Linked DNA regions of Diceros bicornis minor. The protein of the gene in region 2 interacts with the protein of the main gene of each other region in a biochemical or structural test. Links are inferred from orthologs where the notes say so. Each region holds a gene or a part of one and is shown on either strand. Other genes may lie near its edges. The genes, in order: SNTB1, RPS6KA1, MAST1 and ARHGEF12.

Region 1 (8,007 bases), on a different chromosome or scaffold from region 2:
TCAGAATATGAGACACTCTTTTGAATGGGGCCGATGCTTGCTTCTCTTAATAGCAGTGGATTTCTGAAAACTCAGGATGGGGATAAGGTAAGCCCAGGTGCTTCATGTCTAGGAGGCCCACAGGTCTTTCCCAGATGTCCTGCTTACAACACATGACAACGTGTTGTGAGAATGACATGTTAGACGTTTACAAAACTCACTTTTCAGTTGCTGCATCAATACTCACATAACTGCTTGATTTTATTTTTCTTTAAGTTTATTTTCAACTGCAGGGAGTCATCTTTTCTTCCTCTTTTTTGGGTGAGAGATATTTTTCACCTCTTTGCTAAGTCATTATTCATCAAATTGAAACCAAGGAGAAGAAGGGAAAAAAGGCACATAATGAAGGGCAGTGCCTGAAATAAAAATGACCTGCCTTTCATCCCCCTGATATTTTACAGTAAATATTGAAGCTGTGCAGGTGCCCAGTAGTTTATAGTCCAAACTACACTTGCTCCAGATCCCACCTGCCCCTTGTCACACAATCCAACACACACTTGAGTCAAAAAAACTTTTTTATGTTTACTTATATTAATCATAAGCCAAAGCAAATAGCTTGCCACTTTCTGGATCCAGGGTAGCAATTAAATATGAAGACATCGCAAATCCTCTAGACCAATAAGGGGGAGAAAATCCTCTGTATTCTAGGCCAGGAGGTGGGCCATCATGTACCAGACAGTTGCATCAGCTGTCATATGTAACAAAGCTGGTTTCCCAACTTTGAATTTTCTCAGTTTCACAGCCAGCACAACTGTTGAGCAGGAAATTGATTTAAGTCCTTAATTTAGGGACCTAAATCAACCACCAGTTTACAAGGGTCTCTGTCGAAACATTGTTTCAATGGCTATGGGTTCATTTATTCATTCACTCAGCATGCATGTCACTGAGCACCTAAGCTCAATGGAGAGGACCCATAAGCAAATAAAAGACCCCAGAACTCAGTCTACAGTTAGAGGGAAGATGAAATAATTACATGATATTAGTGCTGACAGAGTTTTGTACAAAGTGAGCTAAGGGGCAGAGAGACAGATATCAAGAGAGAAATACAGCTGCAGTGGAAAGAAGGCATTACCCACAACTTCCCCACTGACCTTCTCCGGAAATAACCACACATAACCACGAGAGGGTACAAACGATGCTACCTATTCTACTCACACGCAGTAATTAGGGGATTGGGGACATCAGATCTCAAGAGAGTAGTTTCTAAGATGCCTCACACACAGGGAAACTGTTTACAAATGCAAAGTTGTTTCCACACCACTCGGGAAGAATCCCCGGAAAACTCTGGCAGAGAAATCACTTCACCAGCCCTCCACCCAGCGCAACCTGGAATCCAGACTGACGGGCCTAAAACCTGGCAGCAGAAGTGAACGTCTGCATAAACTTCCCAGCCCGTGGCACAACTCCCCAGCCATCACCCCAGCTTCCAATCTGAAAGGAGGGAAGTCTTGAAGGGTGGTCGGAGCTTTAGCCTTCAAACACTGCCAGCGCTCTCCGGCCCCTTTATGTTTCAACCCTTTTAGTTGAGTTGCCCGGGCTTCTTTGGAGAAAATTATGCCAAAGCAGAAAACTATCCGAGTTGCGGTTACTCAGTGTGCTCGCTTCGTAACGTGGACGTCTACTCTTCATTTTCAGTTCCACTTCCCAGCCCCTACACGACACTTGGATTATCCGCGGATAAAAATGAGACAACGTGCACTAAGCATGCAAACCGTGCTTGGCACATAGGAGCTCAAGAATCCCTGCTCGCCTAGCCTTTTCATACACCCTACTGGATCAAAGCCAGTAACGACTCTAAGTGGGGACAAGTTGCCCCCAGGTGGGTAAAAGTTGTCAAAACTCCAGGCCGCCCCCACTCCCGGCCCCCTGGGGTGTGAGGCACGTGGGTGAGTGTGAGAGTGCGGCGGGAGGGCGAGAGGGTGTGTGCGCGCCCGGCGCGGCCCGCGCGGCATTAACCCCTTACCTTCCAGCAGCACTTCCTTGCCAGCGCGCTTCAGCGCCTGCACCGCCTCGTCGTGGGTGGCGTCCCGCAGGTCGGCTCCGTTCACCGACAGGATGGCGTCGCCCACGTACAGGGCTTGGGTCTGATCGGCCGCCAGCCCCTTGAAGATCTTGCTGATAAGGATGGGCATCTTGTTCTCCTTGCCCCCCTTGATGCTGATGCCCAGCCCGCCCAGCTCCTGCTTCAGCACCTTCACGCCACGCTTCTGGTTTGAGATGGACTCGGGCACCTGCTCCGGGAGGTCGGTGAAGGCGGTGCGGACCCCGGCGGGCGAGTCCGGGGGCTGCGCGCCGCCCGCGCCCGGGTGCCCGCTGCCGGCGCCCTTGCAGAACGAGCCATTGGTGGCGGTCCCGATGCCGTTGTACGCCGCAGCGCCCTCCTCGCAGCTCAAAACCAGGGCGTCCTCGCTCAAGTTCACCAGAACTTTGTGCCAGCGATCCCGCACCAAAACTTCCAGCAGCCCGCTCCGCTGCGCGCGGCCGCCTCCCCCGCCGACCGGCCCTGCCGCCGCCGCCGCCGCTACCGCCATCTTTCCGGCATTCTTAAAATGCCATGTGATTGCAAAAGGGGGGAAAAGTGGGGAAGGGTTGCGCGGGGAGGACGCGGGCCCTGGGGGAGCGAGGAGCGCGCGCCCCGCGGGCAGGAGGCAGGACGTGGGACTCCACTCCGGGAGTTCGCAGACGCGCTCGGCGCGAGTTGGCAGCCGCAGCCAAGCCGGTTCCCCCTCGCCTGATCCTGGGCGGGGTGGAGCAACCTAAAAGAAGAAGGAGAGACAGAAACAGGGGACGGGGAAAAAAAAAAAAGCCAGCTGCCAGTTGCAAAACCCCAAACCAAGGGGAGCCGCGGAAGAGCTAAGCGCCGGGGAGAGTCGGTAGGAGGAGGCACGTCGCGGGGAAGGGCGGGGACCCGCCACCCGGCGGCCGCTCACCTGTTCCAGCCGCCGCAGCCTCGGCTGTCACACGCCGCACGCCGCCCCAGACCCACCCCGCCTCCCTCCTCCGAGCGCACGGCGCTGCAGGGACAGCTTCCCAGCGCCTTCTCTCCACCCCGCCCCAGCCCTCTCGTCTCGACTCTCCCTTTTCCGCGGGCGCCCGCACCTCACCTTTGCCTGGTCTGTGTGTCCTGCCTTGATCCCCTCACTCGATGCTCCTGATCCCCCATCCCTTTCATACCCTCCACTGAATTGTCCCTCAGTCCTAACCCCCAACTGTATCTAGATCCAGGTCTCCTCACTACCAAGGCTTGGCTTCTCCCGCTGAGTTCTTACCTGTCTCTCCTTTCCGCGAGGACTCTCAGGTAGACGCAGACGGAGGCCCTGGGTTCTCTGAGAGTCAAGAGGGAAGGCTGTCCCAAGAACCCAGAATGAAACGTCAGCATAACCCGAGTGCCCGAAACTTCCTGTCTTCAAATGCAAGACATCTTTCTGCGGGGTCTCTGGAGAGGTGTCTCTGCTGGCCGGGGTATTCAGCAGCTCACTGCCTGGCCCACACCCCAGGGACAAATGTTCTTCCAGCTCCAACACATTATGTGCTCTATGCTTCTGACCTTTTTTCCCCAATGCCACACCAAATGCTTCCTGGGACTTTCTCTTTCTTCCCAAGATCTGATATAGGAAGTCCACTATTTAAGAACTCAGTTACATGGATTGTATCTCAAAAGTTCCTTTACAAGTTATGTATCGGGAGTTCAAGCTGCATTTTTCCAGGGCAACAATATTATAATCGTTGGTTACCTTCCCAGGCCAATCCGGAAATGCCAACCTAACCCATGTCATAGCTGAACCTCCCACGGTCCACCTGGTCCTTGAACCTCTCAATTTCTCCCCCCACCCTGAGCAGGTCTCATGGACCTCTCTAAGTGTTTCAGCCTTCTCATTTACCTCCCCTTTCCATCTCTCTCTTTCTTCTCTCCAAAAACAAAACAAAACAAAACTCACAAATCTTCGAATTCTTAGAGGTAAACCCAATCCAGCAAGGTGTCAGGAAGAAGGAAATCTTATTTGAACACATTCCCACTGATGTGTATCATCTCTGAGAGATCTCTAACCCTTCCAGAATGACTCACACTTTTAACTGAGAATGCTTAAAATGCAGACAAATCCCTAAAGGGTGGTTGGTGTTCCAGGTAGGGTCACAGAATAAAATGAAAATATTTGGACTTTTTTTTTTTTTGTCAAGGAAAAGTCACTGCTGGCAGGTCAGCAGGAACTCTTGGATTAATGCTTCTGCTTGTATCATCCTCCTTTCCTATATTTTTAACCCACTAGTTTTCCAAAAGCTCTTTGTTCTTTCACATAAAGTTACCCACGGCAGGGACAGCAGCCGCTGTGTGCAGGACTGGACAGGGAGCTGATACAGGTGGCACCACTGTGGGGTGGGAAAACCAGCTGGGACTGCCCTCTGCTTTAAGGACTGAGGACTCGGGCATATGGCTCATCAGGAAAATCAGAGCCTGAGTGTCTGCATTCTAACCCAAGCACACTAAGGTAGAGATAAGCACCAGAAAACCAGTGTGTTGATTTGGAAATCAAAACAGATCTGCCCCTGGGCCAAAATCCTCCATTCACATCATGCCTGCATCTTGCTTCTGTGGTCAAGCAATGTGGGAGGCCCAGGCATAACTGGAAGTAATTTATCGATTGGCCATGAGATATTGCAGGCTCTGGGATGCGGATTTCTCAGAATCTCTGTGATAAGCACATTTTTTCTGTGTAAGCAAACCTACACAAGAAGGAGTAGGTTGCTTGTTGAAAATGACATCAGAAGGAGGAGAAACAAATATTTAACATCATTAGGCCCGAGGCATGCATGCTAGCCAGAGATGACTTTGCCAATGAAATTATAATAAAGCCCCTATTCTAAGTGCTATACATATATTAACTTAATTCCTCCAGCAATTCTTGGGGATACTTACTGTTATCATCAGTCCCATCTCACAGGTGAAAAAATAGAGATACAGGTTTAATAACTTGCCCTGGTCATGTAGCTAGTGAATGGAAGAGTCGAGATTTGACGCCAGTTTTGAAGAGTTTGGACTTTTAACTATTGTCCTACACTCTCCTGAACATACTCAGAACCTATAAGCTAAAGTGTTCATCTTACACCGAGGCCAGCCTTTCCACTGGGAGGGAAGCCCAGAGAGTGAAGACCCTTCCCCTAGACGGCACTAGAAGTGTAGAGCCAGCCCTTGCCTCTGGCCTCTCCTTCTTTCCAAGGTTAGAGAACACTCTGCTCTCCCCTAATGGACACAATTTTTTTCTTTAGACACATTAATATGTTTAAACAGGTGACTGTTGTGGTCTTGCTGGCCTAGAGACCCTGTCTTATCCCTCAGAGAACTCCGCATATCTGACCTCTGATTGGTAACGCTGACTCTCAGAGGTAAACCTTACTTACCTCCTTTCTTAGTTCTTGGTGGGAATTGGGACTACTGCACTATAGCCCCTTAACACTTACAATAGGACAGATCATATTTTCCTAGGGCTCTCCTTTTAAAGAATGGTCACTGGAAAGGACCAAAAAGACTTGCAGCTTCCTCATTTTATAAGTGTGGCATTTCAAACCCAGAGTAGAGCAATGACGAACCCAAGGCCACATAGTGAGTTTGTGGCAAAGTTCTCAACTGGGTCATGGTGACTACCAGTCCAATTTCAGTATTCTAGCCTTTCCACCTGAAGGGGCCCTTACTTTTTTTTTTTTTTTTTTTAACCACATTTCTTTTGCTTAGCTCTGTCTCTGGTTCTGTTTCCTCCTTCTGTCCTACACTTTTGACTTCCGTTTCCTACTCAGCCAAAACTGGGATCCTCCTGTGTGTGCCCCTTTCCTGTGGGAGGTGCATTTCCCTACAGAGGTTTGGGTGGACTTAAAACTACAAGAGCCGATCACACAGTTCTCAGCTCCACAGAGCTGAGGATACGTGAGTGAGCCGCCACATGCGACAGAAGGGGCAGTGTCCATCCATTCATTCCACAGCTTTGTTGTGCACCTACCGTGTCTCAGGCACTGTTCTAGGTGCTGGGGTATGGGAGCGGACAAACTGGCAAAAATGTGCTCTGTGATGCTTCCATTGTAATGGATGGTAGGTTGAGGTGGAGAAAAACTGTGAACATAAGATACTTTGTGGAGAAGTAAGTACTAGGAAGAAAATAAAACAGAGTCATAGGGTCAAGAGTAACTAGGGGCAAGGGACATCTGGAGGTGGCAGCTGTTAAGGAAAGCCTCTGTGAGAAGGTAAATTTTGGGCTGAGACATGGATGATAAGAAGATGAGAGTCTTGCAAAGATCTAGGGAAGAGGGTTCCAGGAAGAAGGAAGAGCCAGTGCAAAGCACTTAAGAGAGGACCAAGCTTGTCTAGTTCAAGGGACCAAAAAGGGGTCGCCGTGGCTGGGGCAGCCCATGGGAGGCAGAGAGAGGTAGGAGGGGAGATCAGAGAGATAGGCTGGACCAAATCACAAGGCGCAGCCGTGGAGGATTACAACACAGACCATTCTCCTTGTCCTCTTTGAGCTTCAACAACCATACATTTTGGATTGTCAGGGGCAGTCTTGTTTCAATATTACTTCCTATTAGCTACTGAGTAAACTTCTACTGGTTAGAACACATGCTCCAATATTTAGATTTGGAAAATATGAGGATTGTATTTTTGGTACTGTTCCCTAAAGAGTAGGTTGAGCATCTTTAGGGGGATTAGTCCATATACAAGATGGAGAGTGGATACAAGGGCAATAGTGAAGAAGAGAAAAATGGAAAGCTCCTTGATATCTGGGGGAGAATGAGAGAACAGAAGAAGAGAGGAGCAAGAGGGGGGCTTGAAATGCAAAACTCCTAAGATGAGGCATACCTATGTGAATATGTATTGACTAAACGCTTATTGAGTAGCTACTCTTCTAAGTAACTGAGGCAGGTGCTGGGGGCAGGCCCATCCAAAGATGCAAAGGTAATTAAGACAGGAAGACAGATATGTACACAAAGAGCACATGGCGACAATGTGGCGGCTGCAATGCTGAGCGTGAAATGCGTGGAGGTAGCCAGCCTTTAATTGCAAATCATAATGTTGGGTTAGCGATTCTGATTTGAAAGATGAAGCCCTGAGACAGGAGGATGGCACAGGAACAGAGGCTGAGCAGCTGCTTCTCTGGGGTTTCCCACTTGGCTAACAGGTGCATCATCAATTTTAAGTGGGTTTGCAAACAACTTCTATTGCAAGTACGTGGCATTTGCCTGGGCGGATCCTTGGTAAAGTAGGTAGACTACCACCCAGACTATCAGCCATCCAGTCAGTCGGGTGAGAGTTCTTTGAGTGCTCACTGTGCTTAGAATGTTGTAGTGGGGAGCAGGACTAGCCCAAGGCAGAATTTAAAGTACTTAGATGTTTATCTTCCACCTTCTCTTATAGAGTTCCACTTCTTTTACTTCCCTTCCATAACTACTGTTGTTGAAACAAACCTTACACCAGTCTTTTAGTATCTATGATATAAATTTAAGTGACTTTTCCTAAGGGATTATGCATTTGATCCTTTTTTAAAACTGTACAGTGATAGGTTAGATCCCATATTAAAGACATGAACAAAATGACTCTGAAATCCTAGTAGGCAAGATATCCCACCACATACTAGAAACTTCAGCAAGTTGGCCTTAGCGGGCCTAGAAGATGTCCTGGTGTGATGGTGAAGAGGAATAAGAAATCAGTTTCTTCCATACACATCTTTAAAATATGGTAGCAAGAAAATGAAAAGTTAAGGATGATCTTGAAAAATGTTGAAAGCAGAATTGATAGGGTCTGGCACTCTATTTGGCTTTGGGGAGCAAAGGAAAAGATTGATTTTGGGGAGAGAAATTCATAACTATATGCCAACTTTTGAATTGCTTCTATGCATAATTAAACTAGAACTATACAAAAATAGCCCCGATTAATTGCAAAACTTGGAAGCCCAGAGGCAGAAGACACATTTATAGGCAAATGTTCCT
Region 2 (7,104 bases):
GTCTGGGGGCTGGTGAGAACAGTCACTTGGGGAGCTAGTTAGAAAGGCAGATTCCCTGGGCCTAAAAATCAGACTCATGGCACCTCCCACATACTTAATTTTTTTTAAGAATAAAAGTCCCTAGGCAATTCTGATCATCAGCACGTTCTTCTTTGACTCAATTCAGGCCTCACCTCCTCCAAGAAGTCTTCCTTAACCTGCCAAGCTGAGTCACGGCCCTCTCTCCTACCACGCTGTGCTTCCCCCTGCAGAGTACCTTTCACCCTCTATTTTAATTTTTTATTTCTCTCACCAGCCATGGCAGGGACCATGCTGGAGTTAACTATTCCAGTCACTGTTTCCTAAATACACCTTACATTTTCAAACCGTCCCTATGCTTTTGCTTAGGTAAACAGTTCCTCCTTCCTGGGGTACCCTTCCACCATTTTCAATCTGGAAAGCTCCTAATGCATCCTTCAAGGAACAGTTCAAATGGCTACTCCTTATGTGAGCCTGCTCGCTGTGAGGCTGCCACCCACCCTCCCCGGGGCTCCTGGGTCCCAAGTGCCGACTGCACAGCCTCTCAGACTCCCAGGGTCTGCTCAGCCTCTCCCGAACAGCCTGGGAGCCCTTCACAGCAGGGACCAAGCCTTTTCATCTTTCTTCTCCCCCGTGGCTCCCACCATCCCTCCTGAGGAATGACTATCACCCCTATCAGGCCAGCCTTGGGGCACCAAAGCTACATTACCCCCACAGATAGCCCTTCATGGGCCATATGACCCCTAATGTCCCCAAAGCCAACCCTTCTGATTCTACCCACCTCACCCCAGCTAGGGCCCACTCCACTTGGTAAGTGGTCGCACTGGTTCCCAGGCTGGTCAAAGAGTCCCTGCCCAGCCCAAAGCCCACTACCAATCACCCTCATGCCCTTTGTAAGTACTAGAATTCTAGACCTGGGCTCGGGCTCCCTTCTGAACCTCTCTGCCATCCATCTCCGTGGCAATGCCTTGACTCACCCTCTCCTACCCACCCAGCTGCTTCCCCGAGCTCCCTGCCTCTTCCCTCCTGCCCTTCTCCACCCTGAGAGGTCTCCCTCAGGCTCTTCTAGCACTGTGAAGCAACTCTGCTGACAGAAGGCCTCTGCCCAACCAATCTGATGCCTCATATTTGAAGGCCTCACCATAAACACACTGCACTCATCCCACCTCCCTCTAGACATTCACCTTCAGCTACGGTCATTGGCACCTGGCTTGCAGGATCCTGTCTTTGCGATCAGTTGGGGTGGGGGGTAAGGGGCGGCTGAGAACAGGCCTGTTTTTCTACCCAGCGCTCCTGGGGATAGAGCGATCTCCTCCATCAGACCCAGGGCCCTTGAGAGCTGGGCTGTCTCCTCAATCCCGTACCCAGCCTGGGCTCTGCATTGGGAGGTGTCCTCCACTCACCTTTCAGCGTTGCCTTCTTTAGTACCTTCATGGCATACAGGTGCCCACTGTCAGGCCGGGTGACCTTCCGCACCAGGAAGACCTGAAAAGGCAGCCAGGAAAAAGCAGAGGAGAAGCTGGGGATGGGGCTGAGGCCATCAGCTCCCATCCTCCAGATCCCACGCTGACCTCTAACTTCCCTGAGCCCCAAGTTGACCTTTTGCCCTCCTTGGGTACCAAGGTGACCTCTCATCCTTCTCTCAGATCCATCAACCCTTGCCCTCTGATCCTTTGAGCCCCAACGTGACTCCTTACCCCCACCTCTGACACAACCAGTGCTGCCCTCCCAGCTGTGGGCTCAAGACTCACTTTGCCAAAGGATCCCTGGCCCAGAACCTTGAGCAGCTCAAAATGGGATGGGTCGGCCTTCTCAGAGCCAGCCTTGACATGGTGCGTGATGGAGATCTCCTTGAGGATGCCCTCATCCTGATGGAGGGATAGAGATGGTGGGCACAGTTCTCCCATCCAGGCCAGAATTGGGCATGTCCCCCCATCCAAGTCCACTCCCACTGGACCTCAGCAGACTGGGCCCTCCAGGCCCAACCAGACAGCTACCCTGACAGAGCCAGACTCTGGGTTCATCAAGACAAAAGGGCCTCAAAGGCCGGGGAGGGTCAAACTACCAAGATGCCAGGTCAGGTGAGGCACTGCTCCTATTGCTTCTGCTGCTCTGGCCTGGTCAGGCCCAAAGAGATGCCCAGGCAAGCCGGGCTGAGCCAACCCCAGGCTCTGGCTGAGGCCCACAGACCTGCCCCAGGTCCTCCCTGTGGGGCACCCCTCCCCCTGCTGCAAAGATTTTGGTTTTGCCACAATAGGAAGTAGGGTTTGTTCTCACACTGGGGAGGCAGAGTTGGGCTTTTGCTCCTGGTCAGGATGGATGATCGGATCCCTCTGGTCAGAAGAACAGGGCTGAGATGCATAAGGACCCAAGAGTCACCTGAGACTCCCCACCAACCCAGTAAGTGCCAGTTTGGGGCAAGTAGGAAGCTAAGGCCAGAGGCTCCACGCCGCCACCCTCTGAAACTTCCTTCATACAAGTCTACTAGAAACCCCTTGCCAGGGCCTAGTTGTTCTAGGACCCCTGTGCTCTCCCTCCAATCTGCCAAGATTGCCCCAGAGCCCTGGTTCCCTCCTCACTTCCCAGGGAAGCAAGTCTGGGCAGAGTCCAGTCACCCAGCAGGGCCAAGCCTGGGCTAAGAGAGCCCAAAGCCAGCTGAGGCCAACCTGGCTGCCCAGACACCTGCTCCAAGGGCCACAGCCAGGCCAGGACCAGACATCTGGACGCACTCACCGAGTCCCGCCTGGGGCCAGAGCCAGGGCCAGGGGCAGGCAGAGAGGTCTGGCTGGTCCTGGGCCGCTGCTTCCTGGGTAGCCAGGGGAGCAGGGCCCAGAGCCGCAGACGGGGCGGCTTGGGATCCTGCTCCATCCGCCCGGCAGGGCCAAGGCACCATGGCAGGAGCAGGCAGCGTCCTGGGCTGCCGCGGAGGTGGCCAGGCCCAAGGCGGATGTGCAGGGTGAAGGCGGGGGTTGGGCCAGGCTCAGGGCCGCCAATCACTCAGGGCCTGTGGTTTCCCAGCTCCAGGCCTACACCCTCACCACGTTCCCTTCCTCTCTCTTCCCCCCTCCCCATTGCCTGAGGGCTGCCCTCTGGCCCTCCCCCTCATCTTCCCTGTGGGCCTGCAAAGGGAAAGCCCCAGGACAACCCAGCTGCTAAGGAGTAGATGGGTACCCAACAGGCAGAGACAGGCACCTAATATGTAGAGGCAGATAAAGAGGGATATCCAACAGGCAGAGGCAGGCCCCCAACAGGTAAAGACAGATGAAGGCAGGCATCCAACAGGCAGAGGTAGGAGGAACACATATCCAACAGGTGGAAACAGATGGGGACATGTATCCAACAAGTGGAGGCAGGAGGGGACTCACACCCAACAGGCAGAGGTAGACAGAGACTCACACCTAACATGCAGAGGCAGATGGGGACACATATCCAACAGGCAAAGATAGATGGGGACATGGACCCAACAGGCAGAGACAGATGGGGACCCAATAGGCACAGGCAGATGCGGGCTTGCATCCAACAGGTGGACAGATGGGGACACACACTCAACAGGTGGAGACAGAAGGGGACATGACCCAACAGGCACTCAACATGTCACATGTACCCAACAGGTGAAGACAGGCACTCATCAAGTGGAGACAGAGACAGGCACTCAACAACAGAGGCAGGTGGGCAGCAGACAGAGACAGCTAGAGTCCGTGAGGCCCAAGTAGATGGACAGACACCCAGGGCAGCCACACAGGCAGGAAAGACACACAGATACATAGAAAATCAGACCCTGGACTCAAGGGCAGAGCTCCAGGTTCTTGCTGGTCTGCCTCAGGGTGGGGAAAGAGGTGAGAGGGAATCACTTGCAAACCCCCAGCAGTTGAGAGAACAGCCCAGTCTTTGTGGCAGACCCATCTCTGAGGCCTTCCATTTCTCTGGGATTTTCTTCCCACGCCAGGGCCTGAGGAGGGCCCAGGACTAGGACAGTGGGCTGAGAAGGACATCTCCTGAGTGCAATCTGATGGCTTTCACTCTGATATAAATATCCCAAAAGCTGTTACCCTCATTTCAGGAACAGGAAACTGAGGCCCAGAGGACAGTGACTCACCCAGGCTCAAAGGGAACCAGTGGCAGAGCCGGCTTGAACCCAAGTCCTTCCCCTGGTTACCGCCTGGCCTGGGGTCAGCAGGACTCAAGTGCCAGGAAAGGGTGGGCAGGTAAGTGAGCCAGAGCCATGTCCTGCCCATCCAAGCCCACCCCCTCCCTCAGTACCAGGGTCAGTCTGGGGACTTCCCATTCCAGGTCTTGACCCTCAGAGACACAGCCCCATCTTCAGGGGACCCTGAATAGCCACAACAGCTGCAGCCACCAAAAGCTGCAGGCTAATCAAGCCCCTGAGTGTAACCCCGGGCAGGACACGCAGGAAGCCTGGCTCAGAGAGGGACTGAGGTGGGCCAAAGCCACACAGCAACCCCTGCCCACCCCACCCTGAGCTCTGAGCCTCCACCTATCTGTCTGCCTCTGACTGAAAACACTCCCTGGGGACAAAGGCAGTCATCCGGAAACCCCAGGGGACAGAGCCACCCCTAAACCCCTTCCTTGCCCAGAGTCATGGTGACAGACACCACTGGAGGCAGGCCAACCCTCTGCTCACCTTTCTGAGACAGGGAAGTGAGTCTCTCTCAACCCTGGGGAAATCTGCCGGGGTCTGCATGGTGGGGCTCAAGCCGGTGGCCAGAGGGCCCCGTTACTCCCCTTACTTCTGCTTTTTCAGCCTTCCCGGCCCAGAAGGCAGGGTCGCTGACCCCCTCCTTCTCACTTCCCCCTCTGCAGGGAGGAGGGACAAAGATGGGTCAGGCTCCCCTGCTGAGGAAGGGACACCGCAGACCCCAAGCCCATGACTCCAGAGGGGGCCCAGGGACACACCCTTCCTCATCTCCTCTGATCCTAAAGAGAGAAGACCAGAACCCAGAAAGAAGTCACAAGGCGATGAGGCGGTGACACAGTGGGCATCCCAACACCTGCAAAGATTCCCTGAGAGAATGTGGGGATGTCAGCAAGTAAGCAAGGCCACAGTCTCTGACTGCCCCAGCCCAAAGTGTAGACACTCCTTCCCCTGTAGTGACCTTCCCGTAGCTGGGCCCACCCAAAATGGCAGCCCACAGAGCAGGCACCACCACACCCAGCCCTACCCCGAAGAAGCCTGCCAGTCCAGGGCCCTGGGATGGGCAAGGGGGAAGAAGGCCCTAGCAAGGACCTCACAGAGGACTGAGGAGGAGCAGGTAGCCATGGGACAGGGGTTGACCAGGCCCAGCCCCCTTCCACGTGGTCTTGCCATATCATTCACACCCGTACACCACAGGAACTGACACACACACAAATACACACAGGCTGATGATCGGAAACCATTTCCACAGACATCCTCTATGTGGAAACACACGCCCCCACGTACACATGGACTTCCCCTTCATGTCCTCACAGGGCCTCCAATAACAGACTGATGATGGTCTGCCGGGGGTTGTGAAAGATGCCTCCTTAGACTGAGGCCTATTATTGCACCCCAGCTTCTTCAGTCAGGGGTGTGGAGGCTGGGGCAGCCCTTGGAGCCCCAAAGCTCTCTGGTCCAGCGCCAGCTGAACCTCCAACCCTCAAGTCCTTCAGAAGCAAAGGAAGACTCTGTGGCTAGCAGGGTACAGGAAGGGGCAACAGGAAGGAAACAGTCTCAGAGCTGCCTTCGCTGAAGGGTATGTGCAGGGCCTGTGAGGCCTCTGGTGGCAGTGGTGGGGGAGGACAGATATCAGACCACATCCCTTGGTCCCTTGCCCCATTCCCCCCATAGATACTTCCTCTTATTTACTTCCTCCCACAAGGCAGCTGGGAGAGAAGCCCAGAGCCCCCCAGCCTGATCCCTGGTCCGTAGGGTCCCCACCCTGGGCCTCCCTCTACCAGCTGCAGCCCAAACCCACCTGCCAACCTCCAGCCCTAACGGACACCAACAGCCCCTTCTCCAGCTGGCAGCATCCGCAGGGCCTCCCAGGCGCTGCCCCCTCTGGTGGGGCAGATGTCCCCAGACGCGTCTCCCAGCACGCCTCTGGGCAGGTGAGGAGGGGTCCACAGTTCCCAAGCATCCTTGACGGGGAAGCTGGCCTCAGGCACTAGGTTAGGACTGGCATGGAGTGGCAGCAAGAAGTGTGCCTCCTAATAATTGAGCATTTATTGCACGAGGCCATTCTTTCCTTCAACCTTTGCTGGTGTGCATTCTGCTAGGCTCTATGTCTTAGCTCCAAGGGAGGTGCTGTCATCCCATTTCAGAGATGAGGAAACTAGACTCAGAGAGAAAGTGACTTGCCCAAGGCCATGTGGCTAGAAAGGGGGAAAACTAAGAGCAAAATCAAAGTCTGTTTGCTTCCAAAGCTTACACTCTCAAGCACTGCATTATCACCCTCTCAGCAAGGCTGGCCAGCCTGCCTCCCCTCTGGACATCACTCACAGCTACTGGGCCCCTGCTCTGTCCCCAGGCCAGGAGCCAGACACTAGGAGGCGCACATGTTAAGGCAGACTGGGGCCCTGTCCTTAGGCAGCTCTTGAAAATAAATACACGATAACAAAACACAACTGTCCCCAGACAGAGCTGCAGTCAAGGTGCTAAGGGTGCCCAGAGCCGGTAACTATCTGCCTGGGGTGAGGGCTGGGAAGACCTTCCAGGGCAGAGGCAGTCCAGCTGGACCCTGAGGATGAACAGGACTTGGCCAGGCAGAAAGGAGGAAAAAAGACACTCCATGTAGAGAGAGACCAGCGTGAACAAGAGGCTTGAGGCCAAGAGGGCAGGGCGGGAAGTCAAGAACTGGCTACCCACTAGCTGAGTGCTCCCAGGCCAATCTCTTTCCCTGTCTGAGCCTCAGTTTCCTCCTCTGTAAGATAGAGGTTAAAATGAGATGTTTCACTCTAAGAAGGTTGTTTCTGGAAGCAAAATGGGCCACAGAGACAAAGGGACATTGTAAACAGAACTTCTTCCTGGATTAGATGGACAGTCTTACTGCTTCGGGGTCTCTGCAGGGCAGGCTGAAGGGACAGAGCCCAGCCACAGGGTCCCAGGTG
Region 3 (7,066 bases), on a different chromosome or scaffold from region 2:
CCTGGGTGGAGAAGAAGGGGTCGGCGCCCTGGGGCGGAGCCCAGCAGGGGGCGGGAGAACTTGAGCCAGGGTCGGTCCGGCGCCCCCTCCGTTGGCCTCGGGACGCTACCCGCGGGGAACGCGGTGGCCGCGCGTCCCGCCGCGCTGGGGACCCCGCCCCTCAGGCGCCGCCCGGGCATCCAGGGAGCTGGCAGAGGGGGTGCAGCCTAGCCCTCCCCCTCGAGGATAGCCTGAGGGGCTCCTGGCCCACCGGAGGGGGAGGGGGCTGGGGCCGAAGTCATCGCCCTGGCGCCCCGCCAGACTGGGGGCGAGGGGGCGCAGAGCAAAGTTATTGCCCCAGGGCTCGCGCCCCTCGGGGCTGCGGCGCCAGCAGCCGCCGTAAACATGTTTGTGCGGCAGCCTGGCCCCTCACCACCCCAGGAGCCCCTTTCCGAGGCGTGGGGACCCCCTGCGACCTGCATGCACCTGCCTGGACACCAGGATTCCTTCCACTGCTCTAATTGGACAGACACCTGGGCAGCCTCCTTCCTCACTCTTCTTTCCACCCCCCTCCACTACAACACCCCCCCCCAACCCCGCGCGCGATCCTCAAGTCCAGCCCAGCTTGTGGGTGGGCGGGAGCGATTTTTAGCTCCTTGCAGCCTTAGAAGATGCTGGTCTCCAGGCTGCGCAGGCGCGGGAGGCATGGGTCCACTGCACGGAGTGGGATAGTGAGGATTGTTTTGGAGTGTGGGGAAGGCGGGACAAATCCTGGCGTCAGGAACTCCCACCTCCGAGATAGGTGGGGATTCTGAAGCTGAGAAGGGCCCTCTTCTGTCTTCGGCGTGCGCTTCTAAGGATTAATACGAGGGTTTGGTGTTGCCCCCAAAGTGACCCCAGAGGGGAAACTGATCAAAACTTCACCCCGAGGCCAGCCTGGGGTCTCGTCCTTCTGAGCCTCTTTGGAGCCTAGCCCCTCGCTAGGTAATCTGGAGGAGTTTAGATAAAGCCTAGCGTGGGCCCAGACTCAAGCTACATTCCTAGCCTGAAGCTTGGGAAAAGAAGGGTAGGATTCCAGCCCGAACTCAGGGTCCCGTCTAATTCAACATCTTTGAAGATGGAGACTAAGGGGGGCTGATCTGTCAGTGCAGCAGGAAAAATCGGAGTCAGACGGCAGGAAGGACTTTCCAGGCGTCTGGATGATGCTGGAGCCAGACCTGGGTTGGAAAACTAATTTGCTTTCAAACAGAGCCCAGATAGCCCCATCAGGGGCCTTGGGCTCTTCAGGTTTTCCCTGGCTTCCCTCTCCATCCCAGGGCTAGGTTAGGAGAAGGGGTTCTGAGAAAAGGGAGGGAGCTGCAGCAAAGCCAGGGCGAGTACGGAAGCAGTCAGATTGGGTCCGCGCCGTCGGGTCCCCGGGAAGGGGGCGGGGCCTGCATGGGGTGTGTCCCCGCCCTCCGGGCCGGCGCCGACTCCCATTGGCTCAGCGCCACGCGGGACTTCTGTCTTCCGCGCCAGACCCCGCCCCTAGCCCAGGACCCTCCCCCTCACCCACCCATCCTTCCTGCCCCAGGCGTCCTCCTGGCCGGGCTAACCCCGCCGGCGTCCTGCCTCTACCTCTTCCCTGGTGGCGGGGTTAACCACTTCGCTACCTGGATACACCCTCATGCACAGGTGCAACCCCTTAGGAGGTGTCCCACAATCGCGGAGCGCCCGAGGGTTCCTTGTGTGCAGTTGAGATCGCACATGTGGGACAGCATCCCGAGTTCGAATGCCCTGGCCGCAGCGCTGTCCATTAATCCCGGGGGGGCGGGGGGAGCAGAATCCGATGGGCAGAGCGGCTCTGCAGCTGGGGATGGAGGTGGCGTCTGTTTACACTGACGCCAAAGATCCAAATCCTCTACCGCTCCAGTATTGCTCCTTTCTTCAACCCTAGAATGTTTAGGGGCGCTGCAGATGGAACTAGGTTCGAGGACTTCGCCCGGTGGAGCTTAAAGGTCTCCCAGGGGCTCACCCTCGAAGGCCCAGTGTACCCGGGTCTGGAGTCCCAGGCTCCTTGGCCGGAAACTCCAGGTCTTTATTTCGCTTGGGCCATTGCGGTCGCGCAGCCCTGCCGGCTGGTCCAAGCTGAGGCTCATTCAAGCTGATCCTGCAAAGACAGGGGGAAATCCTGGTATGGATTTCCGGTCACCCCTGGCTTGGGAGGGCAGGGCTGCCTATCTGGACAGTGTGCCCTTTGACCCCGACCATATGTCTAACCTCTGGACATGGGAGTAAGAGGTCCCTCTGGCCCACCCTCTGTCATGCAGCATGTCCATCCATAATCATAATAACTCCTGTTCCTGTGCCCCAATATTTATTGAGCACTTACTATGTACTAGGCACCATGCTAAGTTGCTAGGCACCTGCATCATCTCACAGAATCCTCTAGGAGGCAGGGACTGTTGGAAGCGTTTTCCAAGGTTATAAGAGGCAAAGCTGAGATTTGGATCCAGCGCTTTCTGCTTTCAGCAGTCATAGAAGGGATCTAGAATATTCCTCATTTTCCCCTGGCTGGAGTCCCCACAAAAGGGCTTTTGAAACCCTCACCCAAATCTTCCCCCCTGCAGCCCTACCTACCTCAGCCTGTGGACACAGAACGGGCTGGAAGGTGGCGCCCCCTTTCCCTGTTGCTCTTGGAAAAGGGTTAGACCTCTGTAATTTCTGGTCCCTGTAGTGACTTCCTGTGTGCTTGAAAAACAGAACATGACCTGCTTCTGATGTGGACACAAAGTTAATACCTATCAATTATTATCAATGCCATTATGGAAAAAGATCACCCAGCTGCCACCTGATTCCCATTTCAAATCTCAGTTTTGAGTCACCCTAACTACCCCTCCCCCCAACTCTGTGAACCTGGCTGGGAGTGGAGTAGAACTGTTGGGGTATGGAGGAGTCATTCATTCATTCATTCATTCAACCTTGCATGCCTGAGCATGCCAAGTTCATTCCTGCCTCCAGCCCTTTGCAGTTTCCTCTACCTGAAATGCTCTCCCCAAAGATCTTCCCATGGCTGGCTCTTATTTATTTTTTTGATGAGGAAGATTGGCCCTGAGCTAATCTCTGTGCCAATCTTCCTCTATTTTGTATGCAGGGCACTGCCACAGCATGGCTTGATGAGCGGTGTGTAGGTCTGCGCCCGGGATCTGGGCCTGTGAACCCCAGGCTGCCGAAGCGGAGTGCAAGACCTTAACCACTACGCTGCCAGGGCAGCCCGCTGGCTCTTATTTTTCAGCAACCATCTTAAAAGTCACCTCCCCAGAGCAGCCCTCTCTGACCATCATGTCCCCCTCCTATCCATTTTCCATCACATCACCTTGCTTAATTTTATTCATGACGTTTATTACTGTCTAAAATTTTCTCCTTCACGTCTACACTCATATTATTTATTGTCTGCTTCTGTCCTCTAAATGCTAGTCCCCCAAAGGCAGGAGTTTTTATTTGTCTCATTCACTGCTGCATCCCCAGTGCTTAGCACAGGGCCTGGCATACAGTAGGTGCTCAAGAAATGTTTTTCAAGCAAAAACTCTTTGTTCATTTGCACAGACACACATTGAGACACCAACTCAGGAGTCCTATACGGGGCCCTGTGCTGGTCTCTGGGGTCGGGAGAGGAATCACCCTGGTATCCTCTCCCCCAAGGAGCCCGGTCCTCGGCGCATGGCCAAGAGTGCAGGTGACAATGCTGATGAGGGGCCTGTCACACCCCACTTCTGCACCTCCAGGGGCTGACAGGGCTTGCGGGTAGCAGCTGCTGGTCCACGCTGACCTCTATCCTTTTGCCCCTTTGCCTTCCAGAAGGATTTGCCCCTGCCGCGGAAAAGCAGCAGGTGAGCCTTGAGGCGAGATGCGCGCGGCTGACCGCCCCCTCTCCGGCCCGGGTGGGGGCGCAGGCGCGCGCGCGGGCGGGGCCAGGCGCCGGTGCACAGCAGCGCCCCCTCCCGGTGGGCGGCGGCCGCACGGCCCTCCCTCCCCCGCCCTCCCCTGCCCGCTGCGGCTCCAGCCTCCGCCCCGCGCGCTCGCTCCCCGCGCCGCCGCCGCTGCCGCACCTGCCACCATGTCGCCGCCGCCGGGTCATGTCTGACTCTCTCTGGACCGCGCTTTCCAATTTCTCGATGCCCTCCTTCCCTGGCGGCAGTATGTTCCGCCGCACCAAGAGGTAGACCCCCGATCCCTCAGACCCTGACCCGGCCCTCCCCCAAAAACCGCCCCTGCGGCGCTGCCACAGGGCGGGGCCCGGGATGCTGCACCCGGTCCAGCTGCGCCAGAGGTGCCCGCGCTGCGCCTTCCTGCCAGGGATGGGGCTGAACGGGGGGCGGTGTGGGCCGAGGCTGGGGGGACTGCAGGCTGGAAAGGACCGCCGCGGGGGGAGGGGGCTGCGCAGGGTGGGGGGTTGCGGCGCCTTTGTCTGCTAGTGCTGCGGGCTCCGCAGCCTGGTGGGGGTAGGGGAAGAAGGGGAGGGTGGGGGGCTTGGCACCCTCAGAACAATAGCCGCAGCCTGGCCTCCCCCCACCCCCATGCCGCGTGCTCCGGCCGCGCTAATATGCTCAGTCACTGCGGCGGGGGGTGAGGGAAATGGAGGGGCTGGGGGCTCCGTCCTCGGAAGCTGGGATCCTGAAGGGCAGAAAGAAAGGGGGGGCTTTTATCATAGCACAGACTCCCTCCCCCCCCCCGGAGAACACAGCCTCATACGGAAAATAGTGACACACAGCGTCACACAGGACATGATGTCACACACACATACACACACACCAGCCCTAGTGGCCCAGATACACCCGGGAGGCGCCACGCACACCCAGACATGCAGCAGCCATAGGTCAGAGGCGTGCACAGACGCGGGGGCACCCAGCGTCCCACACAGACGCGTAAACCCACAGGTAATGTGGTGCACAGCAGTAAGATGGCACATGCATGCTGACCCACACACACAGTTATGCCATCGAGAGGCACACAGACACGTGTGGCAATGACATCCATGCACCCAAGCAGTGTCACAACACAATATCATCTAAGCATGGCACATGCTGTGTCACACAGATGCCAGAATAAGCAGACACAGGAATTCTTGCAGAGATGGAGAGACACACAATGTCACACGTTATCACACACAAGACTCATCCAGGGAATGTCACACATGGTTGCATGCTCAGACATGCCTAGTGTCACAAGGTGTTAAATTCACACACAGTGGATGCCACTCGTGGACACACATGGTGAATGTCACACACAGACGCCAAGACAGGGTCTTGCACCGATGCAGAATGCCGCACTAAGACGCAGACATGTATAAAGAAATCATGCATCATGCACATGTTAGCGCACACAGTGGCACATCTCGTCATGGGCAAGTGGCACTACACACTGTGTCACATAGACACACAAAGGCACAGGTTGTGTCACATAAGAGGAACCCAAGGACTGTCACACATGATGTCACACTAGGTGTGTGGATACACACAGCGAGTGTCAGACGCAGACCCAAGACACACACTCAGTGTCTCCCATGGTGTCATATAGACAGCATGTCTATCACTTCATGACTGACAGTGTGCCCCACATGGTCACACATGATCCACACACACTGGTAGTCTCACACACACGTCACACGCACATCCCCTCCCATACACAGTCCTACTGAGGACTCCATCGCCTCCTCCTCTGAGCGGTCCTCCGGGGGCACCTCCAGGCACACACGGATGGGAGACATGCGGGGATCTGAGATGGGAGGGAGGCTGGTGGGCCCACAGACTCACTGGGCTGCGGCCCAGCTCGGCCCCCGCCTCGTCTTCCCCGCAGCTGCCGCACCAGTAACCGGAAAAGCCTCATCCTGACCAGTACTTCGCCCACGCTGCCGCGACCCCACTCCCCACTGCCGGGACACCTGGGTGAGACAGGGGTGGGTGTGGACCGGACTAGAGGAGGCGTGGCCACAGGCGGGGGACGTGGCCACGGGCAAGCGGTGTGTACATGCCACAGGTGGGGGGAGGGCCGAATCTGGAGACAGGAGGGCCCGGATTGGACGAGGGCGGGGCCAATCCTTGTGTGGGCGTGGTCAGCCCGCAGAGGGCTGGCATTGGCAGGCAGAGGCCCAGGATGGGGCAGAAAGGAGGAGCCATACCTGAGGGGCGGGGCCATCCCAGATGAAGGCCTGGAAGGGGGGTGGGCTGACTCAACAACCAAAACAGCTGAGAAACTAGGGGCCACAGCTAAGGGGGTGTGGCCAACTAATTTGAGTGGGACTAGACTAAAGAGGGGTAGGACTGCTGTTTGCAACCCGCTTTGGGGGTCAGGAGGTCTGATGGGATTGCCTCCCACCCCAGGCCTAAAGATCCCCCTCTTTCCGCCACAGGTAGCAGTCCCCTGGACAGCCCCCGCAACTTCTCCCCCAACACCCCTGCCCACTTCTCGTTTGCCTCCTCCCGAAGGTGAGTCCCTCTCCCCAGGGCCCCAGAACCCTGGCCGGACCCTCCCCACCCTCTGTCTGGGCCGCCATCTGTTCCTTTCCTAATTGCACCTGAGCCAGGGCCTGCGGGACCCGCAGAGTGCCCCAACGTCCCAGCGGGCGCAAGCGCCCAGCCTTAGGGACAGGGCCTATAAGAAGGCGGGGACAACCAGCTACCCGGAATCAGGAAAGGGGCAGGGCTTCCTTTGCCGCGGAGCGAAAGCGCGTGCGCTCTGGTCCCAGGGTCTTAGTCTCCCCTGCCTCGCACTCCCGACCAGCCGTTTCCATAGCAACAGGACAGGGGAGCGGAGATGAGGCGCGCAAGCGCAGACTGCACGGTGCCCATCGAGGGACTCTTGGTTCCCCACGTGGGGGAGGGCGCCTAGGGCTCTCTCTCGAGAGTCAAGAGGAGGAATCTCAGATTTCCCTCCGGAGGTCTCTGCGAGTTTCTGGAGTGTCCCTAAACGAATTTTCTGGGGGCCTTTGGCGAAATTGGAGGAGGCAGAGAGATTCCTCAAATGTTTTTTGCAGAAACTTCTGGGAGTCACCAGGGGTTGCCGCGGGCCTCTTTTTCTTTCAACTTTATTCATACTAAAAACGTCTGAA
Region 4 (6,848 bases), on a different chromosome or scaffold from region 2:
CACCTAGGAAAAGCAAGAGTGTAAGCACAGAACAAGGGGATGGGAATCAAGAATTCCTGGGCTCTTTAACTAATTTTGCTACTCACTTGCTGGATCATTTGGGCAGGTCACTTGTTTACTCTTTGCCTCAATTTGAACCCTCTTGTGAATGAATGAAATACCCTGCTGGGTATTTCATAGAGACATTATGTGGCATTTTATTCATGGAGGTGTTTAATGTAGGGCTTTTATGAAAAAGTGAAGTATTTATTTATTTGTATATTTGTTGTTTATTTATTTATTTATGTTATTTAGATCTGTGGTGACTGATTAGCTCAGTTGGTAAGCAAGTGTATGGGGCTCTTGAAGTCAAGGCTGAAAGCAGGAAGTGTGAGCCCATCCTGTGGTGACTGGTAATCTTAACCTAATGAGTGGTCTTGAAAATGGATGTCATTGGCCAGGCATGACGGAGTGACTGGAACTGCATCAAGTCATCGTTGCTCTGGGAAAAGCAACTTTAAAGGCATGTTAACAGTGGGTCTTCTAAAATGACTGTCATTTGGTGAAAGAGTTTTGCTGGACATGGAAATAATCTGACAGTAGCATCTCCATCTCTATTTGTCTATGATCAGTATCCCTAAAATGCTAGTTAGCTTCCTCCTAACAAATCTGTGGTCAAAGTAGGATGCTGGGGAATGCTGATTTTAGCGAAAGCCTACTAAAAAAGTGGCTTGGTGCATGAGCTCAAAAAAAAAAAAAAGAAAAAGCTGGCTCTTGAATTTTGGCACAGTGTAACCTGTTCCATACCAGACAAATGAATAGGCTTAATCTGGTACCAATTCTTTTCTCCTTACTCTTCAGAAATGAAGGGATTGCAGATCTTGCTGTTTTGGGGTACTCTCATGGGAGTTTCTTTGAATTTTGAGAAACCTAAACAATGATAAGGGAAAGAGAATTCCTCATTTCAACTATTCTTGATGTCATAGCTAATAACTATGAAGGAAACTCTCTGAGAGAAAAATGTGAAATGAATATGCCTCAGCAGTTGAGATGCTGAGTTTTTACATCACAGGTAAATGAAGGGCTAATTCACATGTGGTGTGGTTGGACAAAATGCAGGACTCATTTGCATTTGGATTACTATGTAATAATTACTAACACTGCTCAAGAAGGATTTATATTTCAATAAGATTTGTACTAAATTTTATAAAAATAAACAACTTTTTCTCAACCTAGAGTCTGCGTTTATATCTTTGTTGTGGTTTTGCCAAGAAGTGGGGAAAAAAGTCTTTTGACCTGTAGAAATGTTGACCCATATTTATACTTATTGGTGAATTACCTCTTATCTGCTGCTTATCATCAACCATTCCTACCATTCTTTACTTTTTGGAGCAACACTCTACATACAGAAAACACTTTGCCAAAAGAGAGAGGAAGAACCTAATTTCTTTCTTATTTTGCCACCTGTGTGGGCAGTTGCCTTGAAAATGATGATGTTGAGTGGGCTCCATGAGGACACAGCCTTTGGCTCTCTTCAGAACTGTACTTCCAACACCTAGAACAGTGTTAGATGCAGAGTAGGTGCTCAGTAAGCATGTTGAAAGAATGGATGAGGGGAGGAGAATGTGGTTTAGAATAACCCTCCAATGGAAAACCTGCTCAAACAGCATGCACAATGGATTGTGTCATTTTTCTAGGCAAAAGACTAACGACCCTGGGGAGTGTGTACTACCTAGATTGGTGTGACTCTTCTGAAGGCGTTCTGTAGATAGAGCCCTTTAGAACAGTCTAGAGCTACCAACAGCTGTAAAGAGGCTTTCACAGACATTTTACCATTAGCGCTTTGTGGGTGAATATAGAGATTTTCATCATTAAGAAAAAATAGTTCTGGGCTTAATTAAATCCTTTGCTTACCATCTTCTGAAGCTTTCCCACAGCAAATGCCTTCTTTGCTCACAGCTAGAACTTTGGGTCTGTTTAAGTTTGGAAAGATCTTGAAAGCAGTCTGCCAAGAGGTTTTGTATGCAAGGAAGAGAAGGTGAATTAGGAAACTTGCCCAGTTTGTTTTATTTCTGAAGCTCAAGTAGTGAGGCATTCTTGAAGGGAAGTGGGGAACTCGTTTTTAAAATGCATAATTTGATGAGTCATTGGGTCCAATTAATTTGATACCTACACTGTAAAATTATTAGAATAGGGCAAAAAAGATATTTAGTATGTTTAAGAAAGATATACGTTTGGAGATAAGGTTTGCATTTTGGTCAGTGTATATAGATGGATGGAGCTCTTTCCAGTTATATGTAGAAAATACATAATTTCATTAAAAGAGTTTTCAGGATAGAATTATCACGTTAGGGTACACCAGCAGGTGGCAATGTGTCCTGGTCTGATCATTAGGAAAGTGGCTTGGAACCCTAATCTGCTTCTATTTTTTCCCAAAATAAACATTACAAAATTAGCTGGCTGTGCCCTGAACTTAAAAAATTCAAGCAATAAAGAGTCATCTTTGGCCTCTGTTTATCTTTTCCTTTTTTTACCCCGTTCTAACGTCAGCCTTAGCTCATGCATCTATTCAGGGATAATGATCCTTTCATGAACTGTTGTAGGTCGACTTTTAGAAACAGCATTGTTAAGAGGTAATTGTAACTGTTTCCGCTCGCCACATCCACTGACGACTAGATTTGCTTTGCCACTTGATTTCCACAAAAAGGCTGAAGACCACCAATACGGGTTTAAACTCAAAAGTCTGAAAATAGCTGGATAAAGGGACAGCCACTTTAGACCTTTAAGGGAGGAATGGAAGAACTAAATTGCGTGTTGTACTTAAATTGCTACAATACCGAATTATGCAATCATAAAACTACATAGATATCTAAATCTAGCTACATAGTAGGAAAAAAACAACGAAAGAATATTTGGGAACTCTTCAAAGAGAACTGTAATGCTGTTTACTGGATAAATACAGTATACTTTATTTTCTGCCTTTATTTCTTTCCACAGCAAGCTTGTTAGGTCGCTGTGGAAAGCACCATGTTTTCTCAATTTGGCAAATAATACCTTTCATTTTGCCAAGGCAGAAGCAGCTTAAAAGCAATATTATCCCAAGAAATCTTGGCTCCAATTCCCAAACTCTCTTTCTCCCCAGCCCTGCACACCCCCGTCCTCCAACCCTCCCTCGGCAGGCAGGACGCGTGCGTGGCGGCCCCTGTCCTGAGACGAGGCCAGCAGGTGCCCCAGGTGAGTGGCCAAGGCCAAAACCTCCCTTTGCTGGGGTTTGCTTCATAAGAGAGGGACAGTGTCCAGGCACCTGGACCTGAGCTCGCTTCCATCAGTCAGAAGCAGTCTAAACGTGTTAGCAGAAAATCGGAAGAACAAGTACATTCCCTCAAGGAGTAAAAGTTTCTAGGACAAGGGGGCGGGTGATGGCCAAAGAGCCTCTCAGCCTGAACACCTCGGGGTTGGGGGAGCGCTCTTTGGCGGTCTCCGGTTAAAGCTGAGTTAGCGCAAGCTAGGCTCCGAAGTACAGATACCCGGCATTCCCGGGGCCCCAGGGGCGACGGTGGGTTGCTGAGTTGGTGAGTGGGACTCCCGGGTACCGACTGTTCCCACCTCGTCCCGCAGAACTACTTTCTCGCTCCCCCACACAAGACTCCGGCGGAGGCGTCGGCGGGGGCGGCGGGAACTCGCGCGAGGCGAGCGGGGGCGGCGGGCCCCAGGCGGGAGGGCGGCGCGGCGGCCCTGCGCGCCGCGGAGGGATCCCGGGTGAGGCGGCTTCCCGAAGTCAGAGGGGAGGAGGCCGAAAAAGTCGACGGGGGAGGGGACGAGCGAGCTCGCGCTGGACACGGCCGGGGTCTGGAAGACAGAACCGGAACCGGAACCCGGGCGCACGCCTGCGAGTGTCGCGCGGCCCCCACCGCCGCCGGCCTCCCCCGCCCGCCGCGCGCGCTCCCGCGAGGGCCTCAGGACCCGGCGAGCCAGCCGTGCGCTCCCAGTCGCCGCCGCTGCCGCCGGCCTCCGGGGCCGGCACTTCCACGCCGGGCCGGACCGGAACCTCCCGCCCCTCGCGGGAACCGCCGCCCTCGGCGCGTCGGGGAGGAGCTGCCGCCGCCTCTCCCGACTGCGGAAGAGTCCGGGCCTCCGCAGGATGGGGAGCAGCCCGCGGCGCTGAGACCAGGTTCCTGTCACCTCTGGCTGCGGGACCCGCTCCGCCGGCACCCGCACCCGCCCCGCGCCTGGTGGGGGCGGCGAGGAAGACGAGAGGGCTTCCCCGGCCCGGGGACATGGAGCCGCGCGAGCCTGGCGCGGGACGGTCCGAGACGCGGCCGAGGCTGCGGCCACGAGCGGCCGGCAGTCCCAGATAGAGCGGAGACGAGAGGGCGGGACGTGCAGGCCCCGAGACTCCGGAGGAGGAGCCGACGCCAGCCCTGAGCTGGTCTCGCCCCAGCCCCGGAGGGATTCCGGGCCCCCTTCCCTGCGGTTCTCCGACTTCCCTCGGTGACGAAGTTTTCTCCCTGTGCCTTTTCGAGGATTGATCTCTAGAACTCGCCTTCTGGCAGACTTCCTCGGGTTGTTTGGGGAGATAACTTGTTTTGCTCCACCCCATATCCCCTTTCCTTGACTCCTTCCAATCGGACGTTCTAGATGACTGCATGGAGTTTTGAGTTGGACTTTTGTGTCCCTTACGGAGTCGGGCCTGATCCCAGAGCACTGGGGGTGGGGTGGAGGTGTTCCTGTAAAATGCAAGTTGGATAAAAGGAGGACCTCTCGCCAAGGGCCCCAATGAGTGGCACACAGTCTACTATCACCGACAGGTTGGTATGAAGCTCCCCCTGCGCTCAGCCTCCCTGGATTCGGCCGACCCAGCAGGAGAGTCAGTGATTGCCTTTGACCAGCGGCGTTGACAGGCACAGGAGAGAAGGTTGTTTCCGAGCTCTGCAATATGTCTAGGGTTGCTGCCGAGTTACCCGGTTGATTGAATTTGGAAATGTAGTTTTTTCTGGAGAGAAACTTTCCTCCAGATTCTCAGAGCAGGGATAGGTAAAACCATGATTGTGGTTTTCTGCCTGTAGTGTGCGTTAGGATTCTGTCCTTATTTTGGAACCAGAGGAAGGTCATTTGGGGTGAAGGTCAGTGCTCGAAGTCAGCTGGGGTGTTGGTGCATCCTCGGTTTTGATTCCTGTCCTGTTGTTTCTGGACACTGTTACTTTTTAGGAATTTCTGTTTGTGAATTTCATTCTGAGACTGTTGCATAATGATTTATGAACTTGATTTCCTTTAAGTAATTGACCTGCACAGTGTTTATTATCTAATAATTTTCCAGAATATTGAAATTACTAGTAAACCGCAGGCTTTTGCTGGGGGCAATATCAAGGAGCTAAAAAAAGGCGAAGAAAAATAATGGGGCTTAATTTTAATTATTGTATTTTTAGTGTTTCGTCTTCCAGAGACATTTGCATTTAAGGGATACAAACCCTAAGCGAATTATGTAGTACAAGTGTGACAGGTGGATTTGTTGAGTTCTGTGAGCCTTTTATAGTAGTTCTTATTCTATGTTGCCTGGTGTTGTTTGGTTAATTGAGGTAGGCCATTTGTGGTTTAAGTGGAGTTCCCTTACTCTTAAGAGTTATTCTTTGGAATATTAGGTTAAGCAATAGAAGCATATTAAGTCCTTTACTACGTTTTATTTCTCAATTTAATTATGACATTGTATCCTGGTCCCAAATTTCAGTCACCTTTTTTTTTTGTCATGTTTCAAACTGTTACATCATTAAAAAAAAGATCAAATAACTGAATAAGGGGGCCAAAGAAGGCACTTTGATGAAAAGTGCAGCAATAGTGCTCCTGCAGAAAGTAGTTGAATTTCCTAATAAGAGTTTTACCCAATTGTAAGACTCATTTGTTGATTTTAAAAGGGCCAAATTCCATTATCATACCATAACAGCGACTCCAGAAACAGAACTTCCTCTTCCTGTTGATGCTTTCTAGTGTCACGTGGATGTTCACCTAAAAGATTCCATTAAATATTTAAACTATTTATATTTATTCTTTGTTCGTGTATTTTTTTTAAAATACTTTTTAATTTTCAACTTTGAGAGTACACGTAACATGATTAGCAACAATGCTCATCTTGATTTTTTCTAGTTATTCCCATTCCTTTTTCTTTTGGGGTGTTTTGCTTCTGAGAAATCACTTTCATGGGTGTGTGGGTAATTGTTTCCGTGGTTCATTCAATTCTTACCCTCTCTGCTGAGCCTTGGACAAAAAGTCTTATTAAAGTAGTGTTGGTAGTTTTTATTGTGATGCGAGGGATGTTAAATGTTGTGGAAGCAGAATGTTGGGTCATCAGCTCATTCCACATGAAAATCACCTAAAAGCCCCCAAGTAATGACTGTTCTTCCCCTTTGCTTCTCAGAGATTTTCTTCCTCTTTCCATTATCTTGGAAATAAAATCTTGAGATGTGTCCTTTTTATGACTTAGATAAAATATGAATATACAAGAAGCATGCAATTATTGAACGCCTGTTCTTTGCTAGGCACAAAGGATTGAAAGATGAGTATTCTAAGAATAAGATGAATCTGCAGATTGGTTTGAGTATTAATATGCTTGAATTAGTTCAGGTGCTGCCTGATTTTATATATTTTTTAGAAGAAAAAAGAACTTTAAAAGCCACTTAATTTAAAATGCACTACTGAGACAGTATGGATGTCTGTTTCGTAGGAATGTGCTACTAGTTTGGTTTTTTACAAGAATTATTCTTATGTAACCATTACTTTTTCATTAAACATAAATTATTCCATAAATATCAAGCATCCATTTGCTTTTTAGGAGAGTGGTTGTCTCTGATTTGAATATATGTTGGGGTGAAATCCAG

The links.
Region 1: the proteins of RPS6KA1 (region 2) and SNTB1 interact in a test that uses a peptide from one of them, tested with the Homo sapiens proteins (2 studies listed by BioGRID and IntAct, with this or other methods). The link is inferred for Diceros bicornis minor from reciprocal best matches to the Homo sapiens genes RPS6KA1 and SNTB1.
Region 3: the proteins of RPS6KA1 (region 2) and MAST1 interact in a test that uses a peptide from one of them, tested with the Homo sapiens proteins (2 studies listed by BioGRID and IntAct, with this or other methods). The link is inferred for Diceros bicornis minor from reciprocal best matches to the Homo sapiens genes RPS6KA1 and MAST1.
Region 4: the proteins of RPS6KA1 (region 2) and ARHGEF12 interact in a test that uses a peptide from one of them, tested with the Homo sapiens proteins (2 studies listed by BioGRID and IntAct, with this or other methods). The link is inferred for Diceros bicornis minor from reciprocal best matches to the Homo sapiens genes RPS6KA1 and ARHGEF12.

Annotation. Positions count from the first base shown.
Region 1 is NC_080760.1:36,701,960-36,709,966, forward strand, and holds the start of SNTB1 (beta-1-syntrophin), read right to left. Parts: upstream 3,003-8,007; 5' UTR 2,970-3,002; intron 2,796-2,969; 5' UTR 2,571-2,795; coding exon 2,003-2,570; intron 1-2,002. UniProt on the Homo sapiens protein: Adapter protein that binds to and probably organizes the subcellular localization of a variety of membrane proteins. May link various receptors to the actin cytoskeleton and the dystrophin glycoprotein complex.
Region 2 is NC_080752.1:42,391,163-42,398,266, reverse strand, and holds the start of RPS6KA1 (ribosomal protein S6 kinase alpha-1), read right to left. Parts: upstream 3,006-7,104; 5' UTR 2,887-3,005; coding exon 2,752-2,886; intron 1,887-2,751; coding exon 1,770-1,886; intron 1,504-1,769; coding exon 1,422-1,503; intron 1-1,421. UniProt on the Homo sapiens protein: Serine/threonine-protein kinase that acts downstream of ERK (MAPK1/ERK2 and MAPK3/ERK1) signaling and mediates mitogenic and stress-induced activation of the transcription factors CREB1, ETV1/ER81 and NR4A1/NUR77, regulates translation through RPS6 and EIF4B phosphorylation, and mediates cellular proliferation, survival, and differentiation by modulating mTOR signaling and repressing pro-apoptotic function of BAD and DAPK1.
Region 3 is NC_080769.1:4,532,782-4,539,847, reverse strand, and holds the start of MAST1 (microtubule-associated serine/threonine-protein kinase 1), read left to right. Parts: upstream 1-4,048; 5' UTR 4,049-4,094; coding exon 4,095-4,177; intron 4,178-5,814; coding exon 5,815-5,903; intron 5,904-6,367; coding exon 6,368-6,443; intron 6,444-7,066. UniProt on the Homo sapiens protein: Microtubule-associated protein essential for correct brain development. Appears to link the dystrophin/utrophin network with microtubule filaments via the syntrophins. Phosphorylation of DMD or UTRN may modulate their affinities for associated proteins.
Region 4 is NC_080746.1:16,732,443-16,739,290, reverse strand, and holds the start of ARHGEF12 (rho guanine nucleotide exchange factor 12), read left to right. Parts: upstream 1-3,836; 5' UTR 3,837-4,755; coding exon 4,756-4,787; intron 4,788-6,848. UniProt on the Homo sapiens protein: May play a role in the regulation of RhoA GTPase by guanine nucleotide-binding alpha-12 (GNA12) and alpha-13 (GNA13). Acts as guanine nucleotide exchange factor (GEF) for RhoA GTPase and may act as GTPase-activating protein (GAP) for GNA12 and GNA13.